2 linked regions of the Drosophila melanogaster genome follow. Changing the gene in region 1 together with any one later gene gives a genetic interaction. Each region holds a gene or a part of one and is shown on either strand. Other genes may lie near its edges. The genes, in order: T48 and l(2)gd1.

Region 1 (10,430 bases):
GTTGAGTCCAATTCTTCCGACGATACACTTTTCTCCGATGACTACGATCCCAGCTCGAATCTGAGTTTGAATGCCGTGAATGGAACGCGGCTACCGAATGTCCAACCAATTCCGAAAAGGCGCCAGTTTGTGCATCTAAATCGTGAAGCTATGGCCATTTATCTGGCGGGAACTACTGGGGGATAATGTTTGTTTCATTTAGGATATTTTCATAAATTAAATTTGAAATAACACTGTTACCATCTATGTAACCATCTATCGATAGTTTCCGCCATGTTATTAGCAGCAGAAACAGCTGGCTGAGCACCAGGGCTGCATTATTGTTTGTTAGTTTTGCTGTTTGGTTTTTAACAAATTTCCTGGTTTTCCCTCAAAAACCCTCTCTTATATAAATAAATCAAGTGCAAAATGCTGAGTCCATAACAACACACGTAAGTTTGTTGGCAAGCAGTGAGTGATTTCTTCGAAAAGTGCAATTCCTGCAATCTGTTATGTTTTCACAATGACTTTTATTCGATCTTAATCTAAACAGTTTAAAGCTCAAATAAATGTAATCAATTAGCAAGTATTAGCAAATGTTAATAGGCGTTGTTGTTTCTCGACGTCGCTGCTGCTGCTGCTGTTGTTGTTGTTTTTGTTGTTGCTGGCGCTGGAACTGGTCATCGATGTCGATGAAATTGGCATCCTGCGTGTTATCCTTGGGCAGCGCTGCCGGCGTCGCTGCCGCGGCATAGTAGTTTAGGCCCACGCCCACCGCCACGCCCCCAGTGACGCCTCCGGGGGGCATGGTCGTGGCAGCCTGACCCATTATAGAGCTCATAAAACCATTGGCCACGACAAAGTTTCTGAAAAATTGATTACATCAATGTACAAAATAATTTCGAGCAACCCCCTCCGGCACAAAAAAAAAAAAAAAAAAAAAAAAAAAATATGGAAAAAAATGATATCGTCTAATTGGGTCTGTGTGCGCATAAATGTCGTAAAATTAATTTCGTGTTAATTTCATGTTGGCCATCAATTAAACTAGTGACATTTCACTAAATTACTTCCGTTTCGAAAATGCAGGTATAAATACCCAGTTAAAATCCTCTTCACGAGCTATTCATCAACCATTAATTTATGTTCATTTAATATTATTTAACTCAATCAAAATCGATGATATCTTTGTACATATGAAACAGAAAAAACGATTCAAATTAGCTAAAGGGGAAACCCACCTGTAGTGCTGATCGATCTGAGCCTTTTCAATGCGTTTGTCCTTGGCCCTGCGATTCTGGAACCAGATCTTGATTTGCGTTTCGGTCAGGCGCAGCGTTTCGGCCAGCTCGAAGCGACGACTCCTGGAGATGTACTCGTTCCGATGGAACTCCACCTCCAGGCGAAGCGTCTGCTCTGTGCTGAAAGTGGTCCTCTGGCGGCGTTGTCTTCCCTCCTTGCGTCGCCTGCGAGCCACTGAAAGTCAAATACATTGATATCCTTACAATTAATACGTGTATAATATCTAGTTGGAATCAGCTTATTAGTTATGTAAACCCCGCACCATTCAGTGTGTACAATAACGACATCCGTCGGATAGCATCATTTTTTCACAGCCCACCCACTTTCGTTTATGTCCAACACAATGGAGATGTTAGAGCGAAATTAATCTTACATTAACAAACCATCAAGTTATGAGCGGGACTAAACGTTTTCGAATGTGGTTGCGTGTCGCTGCGTCAGTTAAACAAATAATTAACCACTCCGATCCGTGGTCCATCCGTCGTCCTCCCTCTCTTGCTCTCTCCGCCCGCCCACCTGCCAGAATTCGTCGTCGGTCGCGTTTGTGGTGCACATTAAAAGTGCATTTACCACGTAGTTTCTGTTCTCTATGTTTTTTTTTTTACCACGCTTTTCATTTCGGCAATCTATGCTGATCCGGGAAAGTTATAACAATGCCAACAGCTGGCTGGCCATCATCATCATCATCATCCTCGTCGAAATTCTCGGCATCATCCGCTCTTTCGAGTTTTCCATTCTGTCGTTTGATTGTTTGCATTCGCAGTGTCGCCGACGATGAAGCTCAACCAAGCGCACATTATGCCCCACTTCATCCTGCAACAACGAGCACCTGCCACCCAGGAACACCCACCACAAACACCCACACCATGGTGAATGTTGCGGTTTAGAGTCTAATTGATGTAACAAGGCGAAGCTGACAAGTTGCTCGGTGGTGTTAGGATGGTGGGGGGGGGGGAGGGGGGGTTTCCCCGGGAAGGGGTTGCTTTGTGGGCGTTGTAATCTCTAGCTTTTGCTTGATTACCCCTAGTCCGGATGGCTCTGGAGGGGCTTAAGCTCTTCCCTGATCCTTGCCGAAGGTTTTTTTTTTTTTTTAAATCACGTGTGTAATTCGATAGCCAAGTGTCCTTTCGGACGGTTTGTTGTGGCTAAAAATGAGTCTTCCTCGCTTAACCCTCCTCGCTTGCTGTTTGTGTTTGCTTTTTTAGGTTTCCTGCCGAGCTCAATTACAATGCTAATTTTTTCAGACACTTGTTATTTTTTTGAGATTGACCAAAAGTTTGGCTTGTAAGTTAGTTAATTTAAAGATCAAGTACTTATAGTAACTACCAAGCTGGTTTAGCATTAAATATATCAACTGTTCTGAATCTAAAAAATGCTTGCATATGTAGAATACGTTTCTGCTCGTAGAAAAGGTTTCAAAGTGTCTTTAACTTTGATTTCTTGCTTACGAATGGCTAACCCATTCACCCTTAACCTGCGATCATTTTCATTAGCCGACGCATTTCCATGTTTCAATATCCCCTCAACCTCATCTCCGCACCTGGCCACCTTGGCCACCTCATCAGGAGCAAACGAAAAAGCCGCAAGTAAACGAAAACTTTCACGGCTCAATGCGTTTTAATTTTTTCTTGGCATTCGGTTATTTTTTTTCCTTGGCTAATTTCTTTGCATTTGGGGGTCAGCAGCAGCAGCAGCAGCAGCAGCTCATTGTGTGGCATTGCTTGGTTGCCCCACCTTAGTTTCGTTTATTTTTTTCCAACTGATTTTACATAATCCTGGCCAGCGCACTCGGTGCGAAGATGTGGGGGATATTCAATATTGCAGCACTGACGATTAATCAGTTTTTTTTTGCGTATCCGACTTTTTTTTTTTGCAGTTCCTGCGGAACCAAGTTCATCTGGGCTGCACCTGCGCAGGCGTGTGAAATGCTCATCACTTCCTCTGGGCCTTTTCAATCGTAACTTTCGAACTCTTTCGGGGATCGGGCGGAAATGTTGGCTCCCCTGGGCTTCAGCTGTCCGCGATGCTTGCTCCTGCGACGTGGCGCCGAGCGTTGGGCCTCACTGGCCCGCCAATTGTCGGGCAGCAGCTCCCAGGATGATGCCAGCAGCAAGGATGCGGCCGCCCAGGAGGCAGCAAGTGGCTGTCCGCCCAATAGCACAACGACGGGCACTGACACTCCCAAAGCCAAAGATAAAACCACCAAGGGAAGGAAGCGGCTCAGAAACATAGAGGTAATGTTGTAAGCTAGTTGTTATCATTGCTATTATAGGTTAAATATCAGTTGGTAAGATTGTAGTTCATTAGAAAGAAAGGATCATCGATCTAGTATTGTAACACAAAACTTAGTGTAGTTCTATGAACTTCTAAAACTATTGAGCAGTATTATCGAAGGATCCAATTGTTATCACAATACTGAAATAACTTTCTATCCTAAGAGGAAAGTGGCTCAAGAGATTGCATATTATATAATCGTTTGCAGATACCTCCCGAGCCCACCACCTGCTGCATGTCGGGCTGCGCCAACTGCGTTTGGCTGGACTACGCACAGACGCTGGCCAAGCTGCTGGGCGACAACGATGAGGAGGCGCGAGAGATTGTGCTGAGCAAGATCACCGACCCGAACCTGAAGATGTTCCTCAGCCTGGAGCTGCGCCAGATGGCTAAGCAGCGGGAGGAGAAGGCGGCGGCGGAGAAAGCAGCGAAGCAGGGAAAGCCAAAGAAATCCTCGCCCCCGCCGTAGTACAAATCCCCGCTCACCTAAATATCTAGTTAGGACCAAATTCGTAGTAGCTCAAATTTACTCTTGTACTTAGTGTGTAAGAACTAAGAAACCTCAAAATAAACATGTAAGAGTTAAGGTTCTGAAGAAGTTATTTTCGTAGTTCTAAAGATTCTGCATAGCTTTGCAAATATTCTACACATTGTTAGAAACCATTCTTTTTTAAATGTAAGTACTCACGAAATGCGGAAAAGCCGGCGCTGAAGTGCGGGTCACTTGGGAAGCCGGCTGGGAATGCGTGTGGCAGGACAGGATTCGCAGCTCCACCGGCGGCAATTGCTGGCGGCGGGCTCACGTAGCTGAGTTTCTGGTGCACCAGCTGCGGCGGATGATGGTGATGATGATGATGCTGCTGGTGCTGCTGGCTAGGATGCTGCGGATAGTCCTTGGCGTGACCATAGAAATCGTAGGCGGGATATGCGGCTAGCGAGGTGCGTTCATCGCTGATGGAAATGTCTGGCGAGGAGACGCTTCCTCCATCGCTGTGATAGGGCGTGTCACAGGGCGGCGGCTTGTGGGCGTGTGTTCCGACGTCGATTTCCCCATTTTCCGAGGAGCGCGTTTCCAAATGCCCGTACAGACGTTCGAAAAACTGTCGCGGCGACGAGGGACGTTGCGGCACGGATAGAATCGTAGTGTTCGCTATGGGATCTAAGCTGTCACTCCTTTTGATGCCCGGCGAGCCGTCGGGTGAGCCAATCTCAACTTTGTGACGTTGCATTTCGTTTGAGGATGTGCCGCGTTAGCTGTCCAAACTAATCACTTGGGTAATCGGCGAGCGACTGAAGTGCCACAAATAATTCTACTTCCGCTGGTCAAGCGACGCTTATCCTGACGTCGACGTCGGCAGAGGAACTGGGTGAAAAAAAAAAACAAAGCAAATTACGCGGCACATCAGAAAATTAACAGCAGCAGCGGGGGCGCCTAAAATGCTGCTTACTAATAATAATAATAAAAAAAAAGGACCCCCTTCCCACTAAACACCTGAAGTGTGGCCTGAAACCCGGTTTGATTGGCTGAAGTGCCGTGCAATTAACCCCTAATTTTACTTCCGGCCAAAGTTTCACTTAAGGGTGGCAAGCAGTGTGCCTAAATAAGCTCCGCCCACTCTTAAGCAAGCAGTACTCACGTCTTCATACAAGCAGTGTGTGCGTACAGTCCCTGGTTTAGCCAAGTTTCTTACCTCGCCAGTGCTTTGCGAGGACAACAACCTTAAGAGCGAGATCCCTAGAGGTGGGCAATCAGCATTTGCTTCTTCAATGTATTTCATGCATTTTTCAAACTACCATAAACGGTCCGTCTAAATGGCAAAAAGTCTATATAAGCAACCGAATCGCGCCACTATCTGTAATTTTACATAGCGCGCGCGAGGGATCGAATCAAATCGAATCGAGTCGAGTCGAGTTCGTGGATTATATCAGCATGGATAATGTGTTCCCAAAACTTCGGTGCGTAAACGTGTGCTGTTTTGGGAAAGAAGTATCGATGAAGTGATAGTGATCGAAAGAACGAAAACAAAAACAAACGATTACGGTTATGTTGCCAATCCGTCTGCGCTGCGCAACCGATTTGCACGTACCGTTAGTTCGCGCAGCTGTCGCAGCCACCGAAAGTGCCAATAAAGAATAATAACAATAAACAAAGACCAACAAGTGGTGACGAAAATAAGAAAAAAAAAGGTACATCCCTTCGATTTTGGCCAATTTCGATTTTGTTTATCGAATTCCCATATCCCCTCAAACACCACAAAATGGGAGCAGTGCAAAACAAATAAAACCAGAAAAATTGCAGCGACTTTTGTTTGTTGTTTTCTGTCCGGATATTAATTGAATGGCTTTTATTTGGCCCCGGCGTGCATTTGTGTTTGTTTCTCTGACGGCTCTGAGCTGCGTTTGAGCAATGCAAAAATATTTTGTTAAAACTCGTTTCGTTTCGTTTAGAGCTTATTTGGCTTAAGCCCGCGAGTGTGTGTTTTTCAGTCGCCGACTTTTTTCCATCCATCAATTTCGGTTTTTTGTTACACTGACATATGCAAATTTTTTGAACATTTTTCGTGCGTTTTATTTTTTTGAGCTCAATTTATAAATACCTTCTGGTTGCACAGAAAAATGAAATTCAGACATGAACCTCGACTTAAAAAGTAATCAAACTGGATTGGAATCAATTGCAAAACAATCATATTTAATGAATTACAAACAGTAACCTTAAATTTATACATCAATACATCACATCATTGTGCTGAAAGACCTTAAAATAAATTTGCAAATATTTAAGCATAGTGTTTTGAGTCTTTAGAATGTTTGTATATTTTTTGTCGTGTGTAGAGCCTCTTCGGCATTTCCTCCTCCAGGCGATGTTTAATAAAGCGAAACCCACATGTTGTTCATTCTGTTTTCCATCCAAAAACAAACGAAAAAAAACAATAACATCAGCCTTTTCATTTCCATTGACATTTATGAGCGGCGCTAAGGGTGCACGCTGCCTCTCGCTCGCACGCAGAACTTCCTGCCTCTGGCCATCCCGCTTGCACATGCAGAGGCGTGGGCGGAGGCATTCGCGAGGGGCTTATTGTGGGATTTCTTTTGATTCCCTAATTCCCACCGCGGGATTTCTCGTGGGCTCGTTTTCATTATCCTGCGCATGCGCAGCATATTACGGGAAAATTGTTATGGAAATGAACGCGGACTTTTATGTTTGATTGATAGAAATGTCGCGTACTTACCAATTAACAGCGCAACAACAACGACTAACAGCTGTTGGCAATGTGTGTTGTCCGGTTACCGTTAGAAATTCGAGTGTAGAATAGTAATGCAAGTGGTAGCAAACAAAATAGTGACGAATGCACATGGGTATTAGAATGCTTTGAGACAGGAAATGTTTGGAACCCAAATAGTTTAAGATCGATATATTATATGTGTTTAGAAACATTCTACGATTTGTATACCTTTACATTTCTTAAGATGTTGTGTTTATTTTTATTTTACTGCGATAAGAATGTTAAACTTGTAGTATTCCTTATATTCCGATATGCATTTCTCTTGAACTTGATAAAAAAAAAACCCGCTTGGAAATCGGAATCGCTTGCTCCCTTGGGAAAGCTAAAAATACTTGCAAACCCATTCCAAATCTGTTTTATAGCCTTTCCCTACTGCCACTCCAAAGTGATAAAGATTGGCACACATATGCGAACTTCTGAATCGCACCGTACTAATCGCACTGTTTATGCTCCCTTATCTTTGCAGTGCCAAAAACGTCTGACACACTTTAGTGACTTGGACGGACGATCGTTTCACTAATTGCCGACACACATCATTTGCCTAATTGGCGGTGGAAAAGAGTAACAAGTGCGAGACGAGAGCAAACGTCGAGCGCAAATTGAATTTACGGTGCCCCATCAAAGTCAAGTCGGCCGACTCCAACTAATTTAATGATCAAAAGTAACACATTTTTTTCGCATTCGGCGGCAGCCGCTGAGCGGTGTTAATTGAAAGTGTCACGCTTCGTCACAATAATAAATATAATTCCCATCGACTACTGGCTTTCGTCTATGTGAAGTGAGTGCCCGAGTGAAATGCGGTCGGTGGAAGTGGCCCAAAGCGGCCCATCTGCCATCTTCTGGCTCGTCCAAGTGCTAATCGTGGGGGCGGCACAGGCTGCCACGCCCTTCGCGAAAGAGTACCGCAACGCGGGACTCTACAATGGCAACACACTCGTCGATCTGGACGGTTCCACCACCCTGGACATGGGCCAGGAGAAGCCCACCAGCAGCAGCAGCGGTCTCAGTGGAGGCTTCAAGTCGGAGTCGTCGGTGGTGCTGCCCGGCATGCTGCAAAATTCAGGTGGGTTTTAAATTATACTTAAGATATATATTTATATTTCAAATATATTAAGATTTTGTTCATTATTTAGTTATTTTAGTTGCATAGCATTTGATTTCATGGGTGCTTTCTACTTAGTTTCTCTGTTTCCATCTGCCCTGCTAATGGACTAAGTGTAGTCATCATCTCAGTTCTTCCCAGAATTATACGAACACAAACTCATTCATGCTTGCCTTATCAGACCCAAAAAGAGCCCCAAATAAAGCGTGTGTGCTCCAACGCGGAAAGAAGGAAGTGTTCACTTGGCCGCCGCTTCAGGTATACAAGCATTCATATACATATGTGCCGGCGCTTATCTAACCTTATCGCACAACTCTTCCTGGGACCCTTTTGTGTCCACCGATCGTGTCTTCGGTTTGTTTGCGACCTGCGCCTTGGCGGCATCATATTTCCGAAATGGGGAGGAGGGCACACAAGAGTGGGGAACAGATTACTCGAACAAGTGTATCTGCTGTCTGCCGCTTGTCTCTGCCTTTTGCATTGTGTCTGTCCCGGTTTGAGATGGTCCTCCCCAGGTTTTTTTCCCTGGTAATTCAATCTCAGCTGCACTCGAGAGAGAAAGAGAGCTAGATGAGTGCTGCCCAGCTGGCAACCAGGATGTCAACCACAGCTCCAGGTTCCATATACCCATCCATGTACCCATACCAATTGCAATCCCAATCCAATCCCATTCCCATTCCCGTTCCCATTCCCGTTCCCGTTTCGGGCACGCTCGGCACATCCGCCAAGCAATTTTCCTGCCTCATTATAACGAGATTAAAGCGTAATCACGGGGAGAAACTGAAGAAGACGTGTGCTGGACTGGTAGAGACCCAGTTGGGGTTTCTTTATAGTTTTAATTTCCATTGCTCATTTTTGGGTTCTTCGATCTTTGCCAAAGTGCGAACTTCCTGTCCCTGTCCAGTGAAAGGGATCTTCGGTCTCGAGTGTTTACCTTTCCATACTGTGTCGCCTGTCTTTTTGGCCAACCGAATTCTGTTTCTTCACTCCCCTTTTCCGCGTTCGGTATTTCGACTGATTTAAATGTCATTTAAGCCGCTTAACTTGGCCCGCTGTTAGCTGCTACGTTTCTGATTTTTAAGTTTTTACGACGGCATTTTTAAGTTTAATGGTAGTCCCATTTTATGAGCGTGAAAATGAAAGTACTTTCGTCAAGTTACACTCACTGTCTCCGTCTCCGTCTCCTTTCTCCAAACCCTATCTCCCTGCGTCGGCCTTTTCTTTTGGAGTTTTGTGGCCCTCGACTCGACTTATGACTCGACAGCAATTTAGGTGCTTGGGTGAACTTAAGGCCGTAGTATATTTGTGGCTTTCTTAAATGTGTCATAATTAAAGGCACCACTTTTTCGTGGGCCGATATGCTGGTTGGGATTTTCCATAACCCTTGGCCAGATTTAGATCAGATTTGGATATGGTCGAGATCTGTGGGTGGCCACAATGCCCGGAGTAATATCGAATTTCCCTAGCTGAAAACCCATTAAATCTTCACAGTCCATTTCCCTTATAATACGCTATTTTCAGGCATTTCCTGAATTCCTCGAGAACTGAATGGGAGCCTAAAGACCGTTAAAATAGTTGCACGCCTTTGTGAATACATTTTAATGCATCATTAATGCCGTGTTCTTATTTCCCTCGACCACTCCATTCATCGCAATTCCTGGACATTGGCCAAAAATATGGAATGCCCAAGGCGGACTACCTGAATGTTCTGTGAGCTGAAAGAGAGTTTTTCGTTTTCGGGTGCCGGGAACCAGCGTAAAAATTTCAGCAAAGCACGCAAACTTTGGCCCAGGGACCAGTTTTTGGTAGACTGGGTCTTTTCTTGGTCTTGGCTTTGGCTTTGGTGTCTTGGTCTTGGTTTTGGTTTTGGTTTTGGTCTTGCTCCGAGTGCTGAGTTCCCAAGTTCCCCAGTTTCCGAGTACAGTACGCAGGCGCAGAGATCTTGGCAGGAGGCTGTTGTCGCTGCCGTTTCTTTGGCTTGGGGTCCCTGGCACTTCAACTCTTCAGCATGTATTTAGATAGACCAACGTCGAAAGATACAAGCGGCGTGTATCTGTGAGTTCGTGTTGCGCTGTGTGTGCTAGTGCTTACAGCCGGGGTCAGAATTATAGCACAATTAGAAGTTCTCAAGATCAACTGGTAATCTAAAGAATCCAACAGAATTCTATACTATTAATATAATAATAATATTTAAGATGACTTTTGCGTCACTTTATTTATACATAGTTTATTGAAATAGTAAACTGATTGTCTTCTGTGGCTTAACAGATAAGAAACCGTAGTGAGATAGATACATTTGCCAAGGCCTTCCGAGTGCTATTATCTTGCCCCCAGTTGTGTGTGCCTCGGCCAAACAAAGCCAGCCGACAATCGTAAAAACTAAACGACGAGAGAATTTATGAGGCCTCAGCCGTAGTGGAGTCTCTACAGTATTCAGTATTCTGCATTCAGCATTCGGCTTCATCTTGAGCGGTATATATGGTAGATCAAGT
Region 2 (11,709 bases), on another chromosome or scaffold:
CCGTTGCAGTACTTCCGTGGTATTGGCCTGACCCTGTTTGAAGGACACGTGACGTAGCGAGTCACTGATGGCGGTTACTCGCTTCTCAAAGCTCTCAGCACTGGGCAGCTGACCAGTTTGGGTGGTCAAACCAACAGCTGGAGCCGGCGGTGGCGGCTGCTGGGGCGGCGATTGCGATCCACGTGGCGTTTGCGGCTTTCGGTAAACCTCGAAGGCAGAAACGCGCTGCTGTGCCTGCTGAAGAGTGATTCTTGTGGGCGGCACCACTGCTGCCTGTGGCGGTGGTGCTGCCGGCGGCAAGGAGTGTAGCTGCTGCTCGTCCACCTATAAGGTCAGAGTACCAATTAGTAAGACAATCATACAAATGGATGCGTTTATTTATATAAGCTACTGAATTTGGACACATGACACTAGTGGAGCTACGGCCAATTGTAGTGGAATGCTTTACGAGTTGCATACATTTAGGATTGGACTTACGACGTTCGCGGCGCCTTCGTCGGCAAAGTGCGTGAAATCGGCAAACCCCGTTGAGGTTTGCATATCGAAGCTGGCCTGCGCGGTGATCTTAACAAAAGGGGTTCCATATTTATATACATTTCACAGGTTATAGGTAGGTAGTTAGGCAAAATCAAGCAAACAAAAAACACAAAAACAATATAAGCAAATTCGGTTTCCCGAAGTTTACGGTTTCCTTTGCAAATGCTTAACAATTGTGGACTCTTAAAAGACACTGTATTTTCATTTCAATAAATTGAATCTGTAGCAAAACTGTATTCGCCTTCATTTGCACAGTACACCACAAATATTGAAAACAGAGACGGAACACACGGAATGTTTTGGAAGTTCCTTAGTTTGTTATAGCATTGCAGGGGATAAGTGCGGATCTACGAAATACTATCCCCTACAAGGCTTTATTTAATGACCAAGGCATATAAAACGACACAGATTGAAATTCTCAGATAAAATTGGAAATTGTTGGTCCATAGGACATAACATACCTCCGCCTGTTGGGCACCGCCCGTTGCGCCTATTTTAAACTTGTTTAAGTCCAGACTGCTGCTCCGTGCATGACGATGTGGCCTTGGCGGTGGCAGAGGCGGTGGCTCCTTCTTCGACGCCAAAGACGATGCCACGTAGGCAGCCTGCGGTTCCTGCGACTCACTTGGCCCAGTGGATCCGATACTGGGCTCGCGTTGCGGTGGCGGTGGCAATGCACTGTTCTTGGCCGGCAGCTTTTTGGCTTGAGGCCGTTGGATGGCACGCAGATCGCTGCTATCGCGGTGGGAGGAGCCAGCGACTCCCGATATTCCGGGTACAACAGCAGATGACTGATTATTGACAGTAGTCGAAGAGATGGCCTTGGGACTATCCTCGCGCTGAGCCACCGCGCTCTCGTTTTCGTTAGATGACTCAGCTGAGGAAGCGATGGCGGTGCCTACAGATGAGATAAGGAATAATTATATTTATATTCAATTTATAGAATACTATTTTAGTTCTTCTACTCACCAATGGGCGTCACTCTTAGCGGCACTGGGTGCAGAATCTGCGGATTGGATACCACGTCTTGGGCCGAGCGCTTCATATCAAACAGGACTGGCTTGAGCCCGGGACTAGATGCGCCAGAAGCGGCTGCTCCGGCTGCTACAACAGGTGCTGCCCCAGTGGTTGACTGTACCGAAACCGCACTTGTTGTTGGAGATTCGCTAAACTTTGTCCACTGACTGGAGACGTTGGTCGAGTCTACAGCGCTTGCCGTAGAGGAAACAGTTCCCGACACAGGTTTTTCCACATTCGGCGAGTTTGAGATGCTTCGGTTCTTGCCCAAAGAATTCTGTGGTGTTGCCTCACGTTTGGAACTGTTGCTAGCCTGCGAGGACGTGGATATGCTGCTCAGATTCATGATGTTCTTGTCGCTGGGCACATTGGGACGCGGTTTGCTGGTCGTACTGCTGCCGCTGAGATTGCCTGCTATGATTGTATTATCCGTATGGTCGTCCTCATCGTCATCATTTAGGTGCAGGAGATCAGCCTCAGGTGGCTCCTGAGGCAGCGCCGCCGATGACGAGGATGTCACCCCCTGTCCACTGCCGGACGCAGCTGCTTGTAGCACGTTGGGATGCAAACAGTGGGGCAGACTTGTGGGCAAGGGAATGTTGTTGCGCCGTAGAACCACCAAATGCATGGCGGCCGTAAACTCAGACAGACTTAGCGCTCCATCGCGGGTAACGTCACACAACTGCCAAATGTGACGTAGCTCCTCCACAGGAATGCGGCTCTTTTCAAAAAAGTTTCTAATAAAAAAAGGAATAAGAAAATAATAAGAAGAATAAAGTTATAAACGTTCCTAAAGCCAACTTACCTTGCTGCTTGGCCCGAAAGCAGACCATGCGGATCCCTTTGCACCGTCCTGAACTGCTTATTATAGTACTCGCGCTGTTCCGGGGTTATCTGGTAAATGGTCACCAATTCGCTCTCGTTGTCATCGTCGTCGCTGCTGTGGCGATCGGAAGACTCTTCCTCCGTGCCTAGCAGCTGGCGATGCTCGTCGCCCAGCAAACCCTGCCAGAGGGTGTCCTGCGCCCAAGGCCGCTCAGCCACGCTGTTGGTGGGCGTGGGGCTGTCACTGTTAGTGCTCCAGGCTTCTGGCGATCCACCACCAGTACCGCCTCCTCGTCGTCGCTAAAAGAGATAAGGCATGGACGGGGATCGGTCAATGGTAAGCTTATTTACAAATGTCACAAGATAAGATAGAAGTACAAACCCCGACATTTTCGCGGCTGCTGCTGCTGACGACCCCACAGCCATCCGTACCTCGTCCATGGCCTGTCGCATCGTCCACTGATTCGTTTTGCTCAACCTCGGAGTCGGTGCTGGGCACATCAGAGGTGTCTTGCAGCTGCTCTTGCTGCGAGTTACGACGCAGTGAATTTCTGCGATCTGTGGGTGGTGGCGGTGGCAAGGCAGTCAATCCATTTTCGACAGCCACCGGAGCTGTAACCGCCTCCTTCCAGCTAAAGTGCGGTAATGGAAGCGGAAACGTGGCCAAGATCAGCTCCTGGCGCAGGGGCATGGCCGCCTGATGAGCAGCGATTAGCTTCAGGCATGAGTAGAACTGTGTCCGCGAGATGTGTAGCGCCGTGGAGGGTATCCCCGCCAGACCGGTGATCTATAAGCCCAGACCCAGATAATTAATCACTCACGATCACACAAATTGGACCTACCTCAATCACGGTCTCATTGGCGATGTCCGCCGAGCGAAAGAGCTCGGTGGCCTTAAGCATGGGCACCTTGCCTGTCTTCTCCACGTCGCAGCATTGGAACAACTCACTGTAGAAGCGCGTCTCCGGCTCAGTGAGGGACACGTCCATGCCTGTCGCCTACTTGTTGCCGTCTCTGGTTTCGTTTACCAAGCCGCTGGTTAACGAGCCACGCCCCGTTCGTCCGTCCTGGACCCGGAATCCAATTCGTTTGTTTACTTCCACGTTTAACCCAGCAGGCCAGTGCCGACCCCGCTGCCCCGCGCTGCTCACAACCAGAAGTCTGATGATTTTCTGCCTTTGGCCCCCAAGACGGAGTTGGAGGAGGTGGAAGCTGGGAGAACTGCGGGGACGATGGTTTCGCTAACTTCTTGGTGCCACCACAACCACGATGGTTAGAGGATTCACGGCACTGGTCGACGAGGGTACACCTAGTGCCTCAAGCTGCTCGGCGCACAATCAATTTGGCTTTTTGTCCAGGTTTTTTTTCGCAAACTCTTTTGCACTGTGTGTGCGCTGGCTCTCGATATCGATAGGTTGCGGTATCGATTCGATTAGACAGCTGGCGCGGCAGCCCTGTACCTGTTAGCGTTTCGCAGCCCTAGTTACCGGCAAAAGTTTAGTTCCGCAGGATTGATGTTTTGTAAGGTGGCTTACCATGTTCATTTATATTTCATTATGGATTAAACTATAATAAAATTTAATGTTGCTGAATGAAGAAAAAATCATTTCTTCATTATTTTTAACGATATTTTTTTAACCGTCAACAAATTTCCTGTAGCCCTGTGCCACTGACGTCACCAATTCGCAAAGACTTTCCTGCGTCACCTTTCGTTGCACCACAGTGATCCCCACTCTGTTATTGTTGTCTGCGGCTGAACTGTTGCGACGCAAAAATTTAAAGGATTTGAAAGTCTTTATAGACTTATTTTAGTTAATAAACAGCCTCTGTGCAATCAAGGATGTTCTCCAGAAAGAAGCCAGAGCCAGCGAAAAGAAGGCAACACGATTTATCGCAGGTGAGAGGAAAAACAAACAGTCTAGATCCGTCTATTTATTAATTATGACTCATCGTTTGGACTGTCTTTTTTGTTTTTTGTGTTTAGTTCGGTCTTACGGAAATCCCAGATGATTTTGATCCCAGCGCTGGATATGGTGAGGACGATGGGGGTGACAGTGATTTGGAGGCAGAGCTTGCGGCCATAACCGGCGGAGAAGGAGCCAAGCCAAAGCCCAAGCCCAAAGCAAAGCTGTTACCCGCCAGTGATTTGGACAAAATGATAGCCGACAGCTTGCGTGATGTCAGCGACGATGATGATGATGACAATTTGGAAAGCGATCCGGATCTTCTTGGCGAGCTGAGCGGAATCGGTGGTCTAGAGGAGGCAGAGGAAGAGGAGCCTGTCGCACAACCGCCAGCTGCCTCTGAGGAACCCGTCCAGACCTTTCTGCCCACGACGACTGTGGACACATTAAGCATTATCAAACAGCGCCTGGAAATGTACAAGCAGGCCGAGGCCAATGCCAAGACTGCCGGCGATTCTGGCAAAGCAAGGCGATTTGGAAGAGGCCTTAAGACTCTGAAAGATCTGCACAGGCAGGCAGCGGCTGGCAAGTCCATTAACGTGGATGACATTCCACCTGAAGTCAGTGTAAAGCCAATTGGCGGGCAGGCTCCTCCAGTGCCTGCAGAGGAGTCACCAGCTCCTTCCACACCTGCTTCCCCTCCGCCTGTGCCTAGTCGTGCAGCTCCAGATCCACCAACCCCCGGCACCCCCGTGGAGCCCACTACATCTGTGGCTCCCACATCTCCCCCTAATCCTCTTGTGACGCAAATGCGCAGCCGCCAGACGGACTACAAAGCTGCTGCACTGCAATCTAAGCGCAGTGGTGACATATCTACTGCCCTTCAGTTTCTCAAAGTGGTCAAGCAATTTGACGTAGTTATAAAAATGTGTGAAGACGGACAGGAAGTTGATTTGAGTGACATGCCCCCTCCACCAGCTGAGTTTCTTGAATTCCTTAAAAAAATGCAAGAAGAAGCAGCCGCAGAAGCTGTCGCAGAACCTACTGCTGCCCCAGAACCCACACCTGTTGCTCCTGCTCCTGTTCTAGCAGCTGCAACAAATATGTTGGAGGCTCTGCAGCAACGTTTAGAGAAATATCAATCTGTAGAAGCGGCAGCCAAGGCAGAAAACAATAGCGGAAAAGCAAGACGCTTTGGAAGGATTGTGAAGCAATACGAAGATGCCATAAAGTTGTACAAGGCAGGCAAACCAGTGCCTTACGATGAGCTGCCTGTGCCACCAGGTTTTGGACCGCTGCCTACGGCTGATGCTGCTCCTGTCGCGCCGACACCGTCGCTGCCCACTTCGCCTACATCTCCACCGCCAACAGCAAGTACTTCCGCAGGAGGAACACCCTCCAGTTCCAGTGCGACGACACCTACAGCTCCTCGAAAAGCACCTTCACCTCCTAAGCCCAAAGAGTTAACAACACGCACGTCTGGCAATCAGCAGAAGAATAATATTGCCGAGCAACAAATGAAACTGCTCCTCGAGCGCCAAAAGGAGTTTAAGCTAGCTGCTATAGAGGCCAAAAAAGCGGGAGAAATAGATCAGGCGAAGGAGTACCTCAAGATCTTCAAGGGATTCGATTCCCTTCTTAATGCAGCGAGTAGTGGATTGCCAGTGGACCTCAGCACTGTAAGTTTTGCATTACATCTTCTTCTTGTATGGCTAACTATATATTTTTTTTTTTCAGCTTCCCGTCCCGCCTTCACAAAGGGATAATCTAGAAGCCTCCTTTGCCATTGTATCTGCTGAGGAATGCGATCCGACAGATGATATCTGTGAAATTGGTGTTCGCATGGAGGAGCAGCTGGCAAAACAACTGATGATGTGCAAAAATACGCGAGATCATCACAAAGCTATGGGAGATGTAGCAGGCATGAATCGGTTTGAAAATTTAGCCTTAACTGTGCAAAAGGATTTGGATTTGGTGCGATACTCGAAACGAAAGAATGAACCACTGCCAAAGTTTCACTATGAAAAGCGTAGCTTCAACATTGTGCATTGCAACACAGATCTCACAGACAGTGAGCTTGAAATTGTTGTGGTCCGGGGAATCAGCTACAATGTGGCCAATCCCAAGGACGTGGATACTTATGTGCGCGTAGAGTTTCCCCTGCTCAATGTAAGCTAATTACCAACATTTAAAGTTTCACCAATTATTTATATGTTTTCGTTTTAAGGATGAATCTTTCAAGACTAAAACCAATGTTATCAGAGACACCAGCAGTCCTGACTACGATGAACGCTTCAAGGTTGACATCCAGCGGACCAATCGTCAGTTCCAGAGAATCTTTAAGCGGCATGGCGTCAAGTTTGAAATATACTCTAGAGGGTAAGTTGCCCGTACATAAAAGAACTGAGCTAGAACAATTATTTAATCCGTACTAAGAAGCTTTCCATGCATATTAATCTCAACTAACGGAGGCGGTATATGATCTTATTTACGCGTATTAATTTTCCAAGGAATACTTAGTAATATCCGATGAGTAGTAATCTTCTACATTTTGAAATAGCCTTAAAGACTTAAATAAAAATATATATATAATTTTAAAAAATATTTGGCATAGATCATTTTGCGAAAATTTAAAAAGCTGTTGATTGAGCTGCATACCTACTAAATATTTTTATCCAATTTGTAGGTTTCGCTTGGGTATTAATTTGCTCTTAATATTAAGTTTCAGCTCTTAATTTGAATTATTAAATTTTTCCCGTAGTAAGCATGTTCCTTTGGTCCCGTAAAACAGTATCGTACGAGTCACGGCTTCAAGCACACATATATTTCACCGTATGTGTCTACCCATTGATCTTCTTGATTGATTCTCACAAGGAACATTTTAATGAAATATTTTTACAAATTTTTACGCCTCAATTCCCAACAATTCAAACAAAAAATAAATGTCATCCAATGCTACGCATTTAATATAAATAGCTGCAGTATAGATTGTTGTGGACTAAGTCGTAAACTGCCCCTGTGTTGTTTCAGAGGTTTTCTGCGATCGGATACGTTGATCGGAACCGTAAATGTCAAGCTGCAGCCATTGGAGACCAAGTGCGAGATACACGACACATATGATGTAAGTGATAACTACTATAATAAAATAATATAAACTTAAATTTAACCTATGTATTCCTTAAAACAGCTAATGGATGGTCGCAAGCAAGTAGGTGGAAAATTGGAAGTCAAGATACGCGTTCGCAATCCTATTCTCACCAAGCAAATGGAGCACATCACCGAAAAGTGGTTGGTCTTGGATGCCTAGGGCTAAACAAGAAAATTTAAATAAAATAGGAACGCGTCCCCTTGCGATTGTTCTCGATTAAGTCACTAAGTTATTTGTTTGTAAATATCCCTCACAGAAAATTCAATTTATCTAAGTATGTACGCTTTTGCCGATTCCTTCGCAGGAAGAAGGCATTTATATATTACGAACACAACACATATAATGTACTATAAATATCTTTATATATAAATAATATATGTATATATGATATTGCCGGCGTTAAGGCGAAGGCGCAAGTCCAGAAGATTGTGCCGGTGAAGTCAGTCCATTCCAAGAGAGACAGATTGAGAGTAGGATCGGTCCACTAGCGCCTAGCCGAAACCTGATTATGTTAGCTTTCACATTGCATAAATATTTTCTTTTGATTTATAAACTGTTTGTTGAACTACAACTCCAGATATTCGACTATTTGTGAGTAGGGACTGGTTTCATTAAACACATCCACACCGCGAACTTTATAGAAACCTGCCGACAAAAAAAGATTTCGGTTATGAAAGATGGAAATTTTGCAGGTTATGCTCACCATTGACGGATCCCTTATCGCCGGGCGCATACTGAAACGACGGATATGGCAGATGCCAGCCCTGTGAGATGAGCATCCAGTCGGCGGAGCGACCCAGATTATCGCGTTCCTTAAACCACACCTCGTAGCTGAGAAGGCACTGCGTGGATTTGGGGTGTTCCATCCAGCTAATGAACACCTCACGCTGAGTCACCTCTGCGATGGAAAGTTGCTGCGGTCGTCGCAGTTTGGGCCAAGATGCGGAACACACCCGGAGCAGCATCGCCCAGGGCAGTGGGATGCTGGCGGAGTTGATAACTAGCTCGCTGTTGTACTGCCAGATGGGTCCCGTCTTGTAGAGTCTAGGTGCTTGGGCTCTTCGCATCGCTTCCCTTAGAGTGGCGTTGGGATAAGCCGGACTTCCAGCTTGCTGCCATATGTAGTACGGATCCGTTTCCTTTGGCACCAGGAGCTCGGTGACGAAGGCCGACTCATTCGCTATCGACATGTTTAGCGTGTACTTGTGATGAAAGGCTGTCATCTTTGGACCCGCCTCCTCGGGACTCAGAAATATTGTGGCCATATACTGACCAGGACCGCCTAATCCACCGGATACTGTACGCAGGACCTGGACGCTATGTTTAGTATCCATATTAACCATTTCCACGTCCGCAGCCCGGGTGCCCAGCTTCGCCAGCATTCCCAGAGCAGCGTATACGGGTTTCTGAACGAGCTGCGAGTGCGGTGGTTTGGTTTCGTTCATCCTGAAGTGGGCTAGAAGGGTGCGCTGTGTGAACTCGTGGGGATGGTAGCTCAGGAAGGCGTTGTCATGACTAATCGACTCCAAGCGACTCAGTGGACCACCGGCCAGCTTGGCATGCCAGAACTGCATTACCGTAGATATCAGTGTGATTCCATACCGCACATCCGCCTGAAAATCCCGGGAGGTGCTCCAACCGGCCACAGGATCGGCTTCACTGAGAGATTGAAAAGTAAGGATTTCAATAAGGACTACCATGTATTTCTAGCATATTTTTTGATAATTTAGTTCTTACTCATTGGCCACCGGCAGCTGCTTGAGATTGGGATACTCCTCATAGATTTTGGCCATCAAGGAAAGCGAACCATTTACGATTTCCGTGGCAGTGCCTTCGATTCCCTTTCGGTGGAAAGTCAGTATGTCGATGGGACAGTAAACCACTCTTTGACTGCATAGCTCCAATAGATTCCAGCAGAGCGGATGATTCGAGTCCTTAAAGAGTCCTGCAGGGCCGCGCAGGGAGCGATACATGGGCAGTGGAACCTTTCCGTCCTGGTTGTCCAGGTTTCCAGCTTTACTCAAACCCCGCCGCACAGCTTGAACGTAATCCAGAAAGGTGTGTGCCGTAAAGTTTTGCTTGTTATACCCACGAAGGTCCGGTTCATTCCATGTCTCATAGCGCCAGTTGACCAATCTGGAGGAACCGTGTCGTGCTGATGAACAGACAGGAATCTGTAGGTACGCATTTGAAGAGAGTGCGTAGGCCATGCTTACCTATCTGGTGGTTAATCGTGGTCTTAACCAAGTGCTCCCAGTAGAAGGATTGCTGCATGGGGTTTTCCGAAAAAACCCCACCCAGATTGCCCATCCACTCCAGAACGGGGGACAAGCGCAGTTCCTCGTGTAGGAAATCAATGAAGTCATCGAACTTGGAAAAATCATAAATCGGTATTCCGCTGGGGTCGTACTGCCAGAATTGTATCAGCTCCAGCAGCCAGTGGATGCGAATGTGGGTCACCGCGCCCACGGGCAATGCTGCAATCAGGCGAAGATTAAGTCGAAGGGCTGGATCGCCCAGGGCGGCGCTAATCCCCTCGTGATCAATGCGTCCGGCGGGACAGAAGCCCACGCCCGTCCAAAAGTGCGGCATTGTGTGATAGACCACATCTCCGCTCGTGTAGTGGGCGTGGATCCTGGCAAGCGTCGTCAGAACCAGGAGTAGCGACAGCATTCCGTGCGATGAGCGATTCGCTCGACTTTCTCTGCGGGATTAATGACGGGTTTTGTTTTGTCTTCGATTTGTCGATGCCGCTGCTGATAAGAGTGGCTCTCTCACCTTCCCTCCTATCTCTCGGTGTGTCTGTATCTGTCGGAGTGAGCTAAACCAAAAGCTAAAGCCGTGTCCGTGACGTCACAGGCAGTGCGTCACAGTGGGTTCAGTTGGAACACAAAGTCATGCTTAACCCAAGAGATGAAATGAAAATGTTTCCAATTATCCATTAAAACCTTTAATAGTTTAACTAATAAAACATGTTAAAATTATTTTAAAATACACTGATTTAAGCTGACAACTAACTAAACTTTATGACAGTAAAGCTTATAGCCAGTATATCATTATACCATTAAAAAAATCATTTTTGACTGAAGAATTCGTGTCAAGTCTGTCTCCTAAGCTTCCTGCGAACGATTTCCTTCCTCGACCCACAGTGAGGCGTGTGCCGAAAGCAACAGCGTGCCCGTTTAGCACTCTCTCGTCACGAGTCTCTCTCCCCAAAAGGTAAAGGAAGTAAAGCTGGGAATGACACAAAAAAGAAAAGCAACAGCACGAGCCGCATTGAATTGCAATCCCTCATTGGGGGTGGAAAAATACGTGGATGTGTGTGTGCGAAATGGAGTTTGTCCTTGTGTGGGTGCTATGGGGGCGGAAAAGCGGAAAAGGTGTGACAAAGATAACATTTCACGCATCCCAGTGATAATACACCCATAACACGCTCATGTTACATGTTACATTGGAGGGTGAACTGGTCCTCCAATTGGTTCGCCATTCAATTTTATATTTATGGGATTTGTTTTGCGGGGATTAACGCAGGACTTAGGGGAATCCTTATATGGAAAAACCCCAATGTCGCCGCAACGAAAATGAATAGGAATTGAGCAGACATTTCCTAGAATCTTTTGCATTATGTGAAATAAAACTATTAAGCAATATAAATACTTATGAATTGTAAATATTAAGAAAATAAATAACTCTTTCTATAAATTCATCAAAATTCATCCATGGAATAATTGATTTCCTCTCCATTGGCAATATTCAATAATTCACAATGCCAAGCAATTACTCTAATGGCAAAGTCTCGGGCCCAAGTGGGCCCACGACAAAATCAGATAGCTCAGAACCCACTTAAATGAACGCTGTTCAATCCAGTTAGTGCAATCCTTTCGTCCTGTCAGTGCCACGTTGGCCATGTCCCCGAACACTTGGGTAATTGAAATGCCCACGCAGAAAACGCGATCACATCCGTATCCGCGAAGAATCTCGCCGTACCGGCCACCCGTCTTGAACCGCGATGCCTTCAGTAGGGATGCACCACCTATGCCAGCGAGGAACCATGATCATCCCGTTTTCGAGGACATTCGCACCATTTTGTCCGTGCTCAAGGCCAGTGGCTTGATGCCAATATACGAACAGGTCTCCGACTATGAGGTGGGTCCTCCGACCAAAACGAATGAGTTCTACTCGTTCTTCGTAAGAGGCGTGGTCCACGCCCTGACCATCTTCAATGTCTACAGCTTATTTACACCGATATCGGCGCAATTATTTTTCTCCTACCGCGAG

What was found.
Region 2: of T48 (region 1) and l(2)gd1, changing one suppresses a phenotype caused by changing the other (phenotypic suppression), as found in Drosophila melanogaster (one study listed by BioGRID).

What each region holds. Positions count from the first base shown.
Region 1 is NT_033777.3:26,876,325-26,886,754, forward strand, and holds the start of T48 (transcript 48), read left to right. Parts: upstream 1-5,409; 5' UTR 5,410-5,739; intron 5,740-7,302; 5' UTR 7,303-7,631; coding exon 7,632-7,899; intron 7,900-10,430. Other genes in the region: ms(3)K81 (male sterile (3) K81), read left to right, coding at 1-186; ro (rough), read right to left, coding at 569-845, 1,218-1,452, 4,241-4,781; CG5500 (uncharacterized protein), read left to right, coding at 3,270-3,512, 3,761-4,021.
Region 2 is NT_033779.5:11,102,846-11,114,554, forward strand, and holds l(2)gd1 (lethal (2) giant discs 1), read left to right. Parts: upstream 1-4,097; 5' UTR 4,098-4,219; coding exon 4,220-4,276; intron 4,277-4,363; coding exon 4,364-5,962; intron 5,963-6,020; coding exon 6,021-6,452; intron 6,453-6,510; coding exon 6,511-6,662; intron 6,663-7,259; coding exon 7,260-7,404; intron 7,405-7,470; coding exon 7,471-7,590; 3' UTR 7,591-7,996; downstream 7,997-11,709. Other genes in the region: Reps (RALBP1 associated Eps domain containing), read right to left, coding at 1-324, 478-564, 999-1,435, 1,507-2,291, 2,360-2,679, 2,762-3,166, 3,222-3,368; Idua (alpha-L-iduronidase), read right to left, coding at 7,997-8,076, 8,135-9,090, 9,169-9,586, 9,648-10,104; Gr32a (gustatory receptor 32a), read left to right, coding at 11,338-11,709. UniProt on the Drosophila melanogaster protein: Phosphatidyl inositol monophosphate binding protein involved in endosomal protein sorting through regulation of the endosomal sorting required for transport (ESCRT) pathway.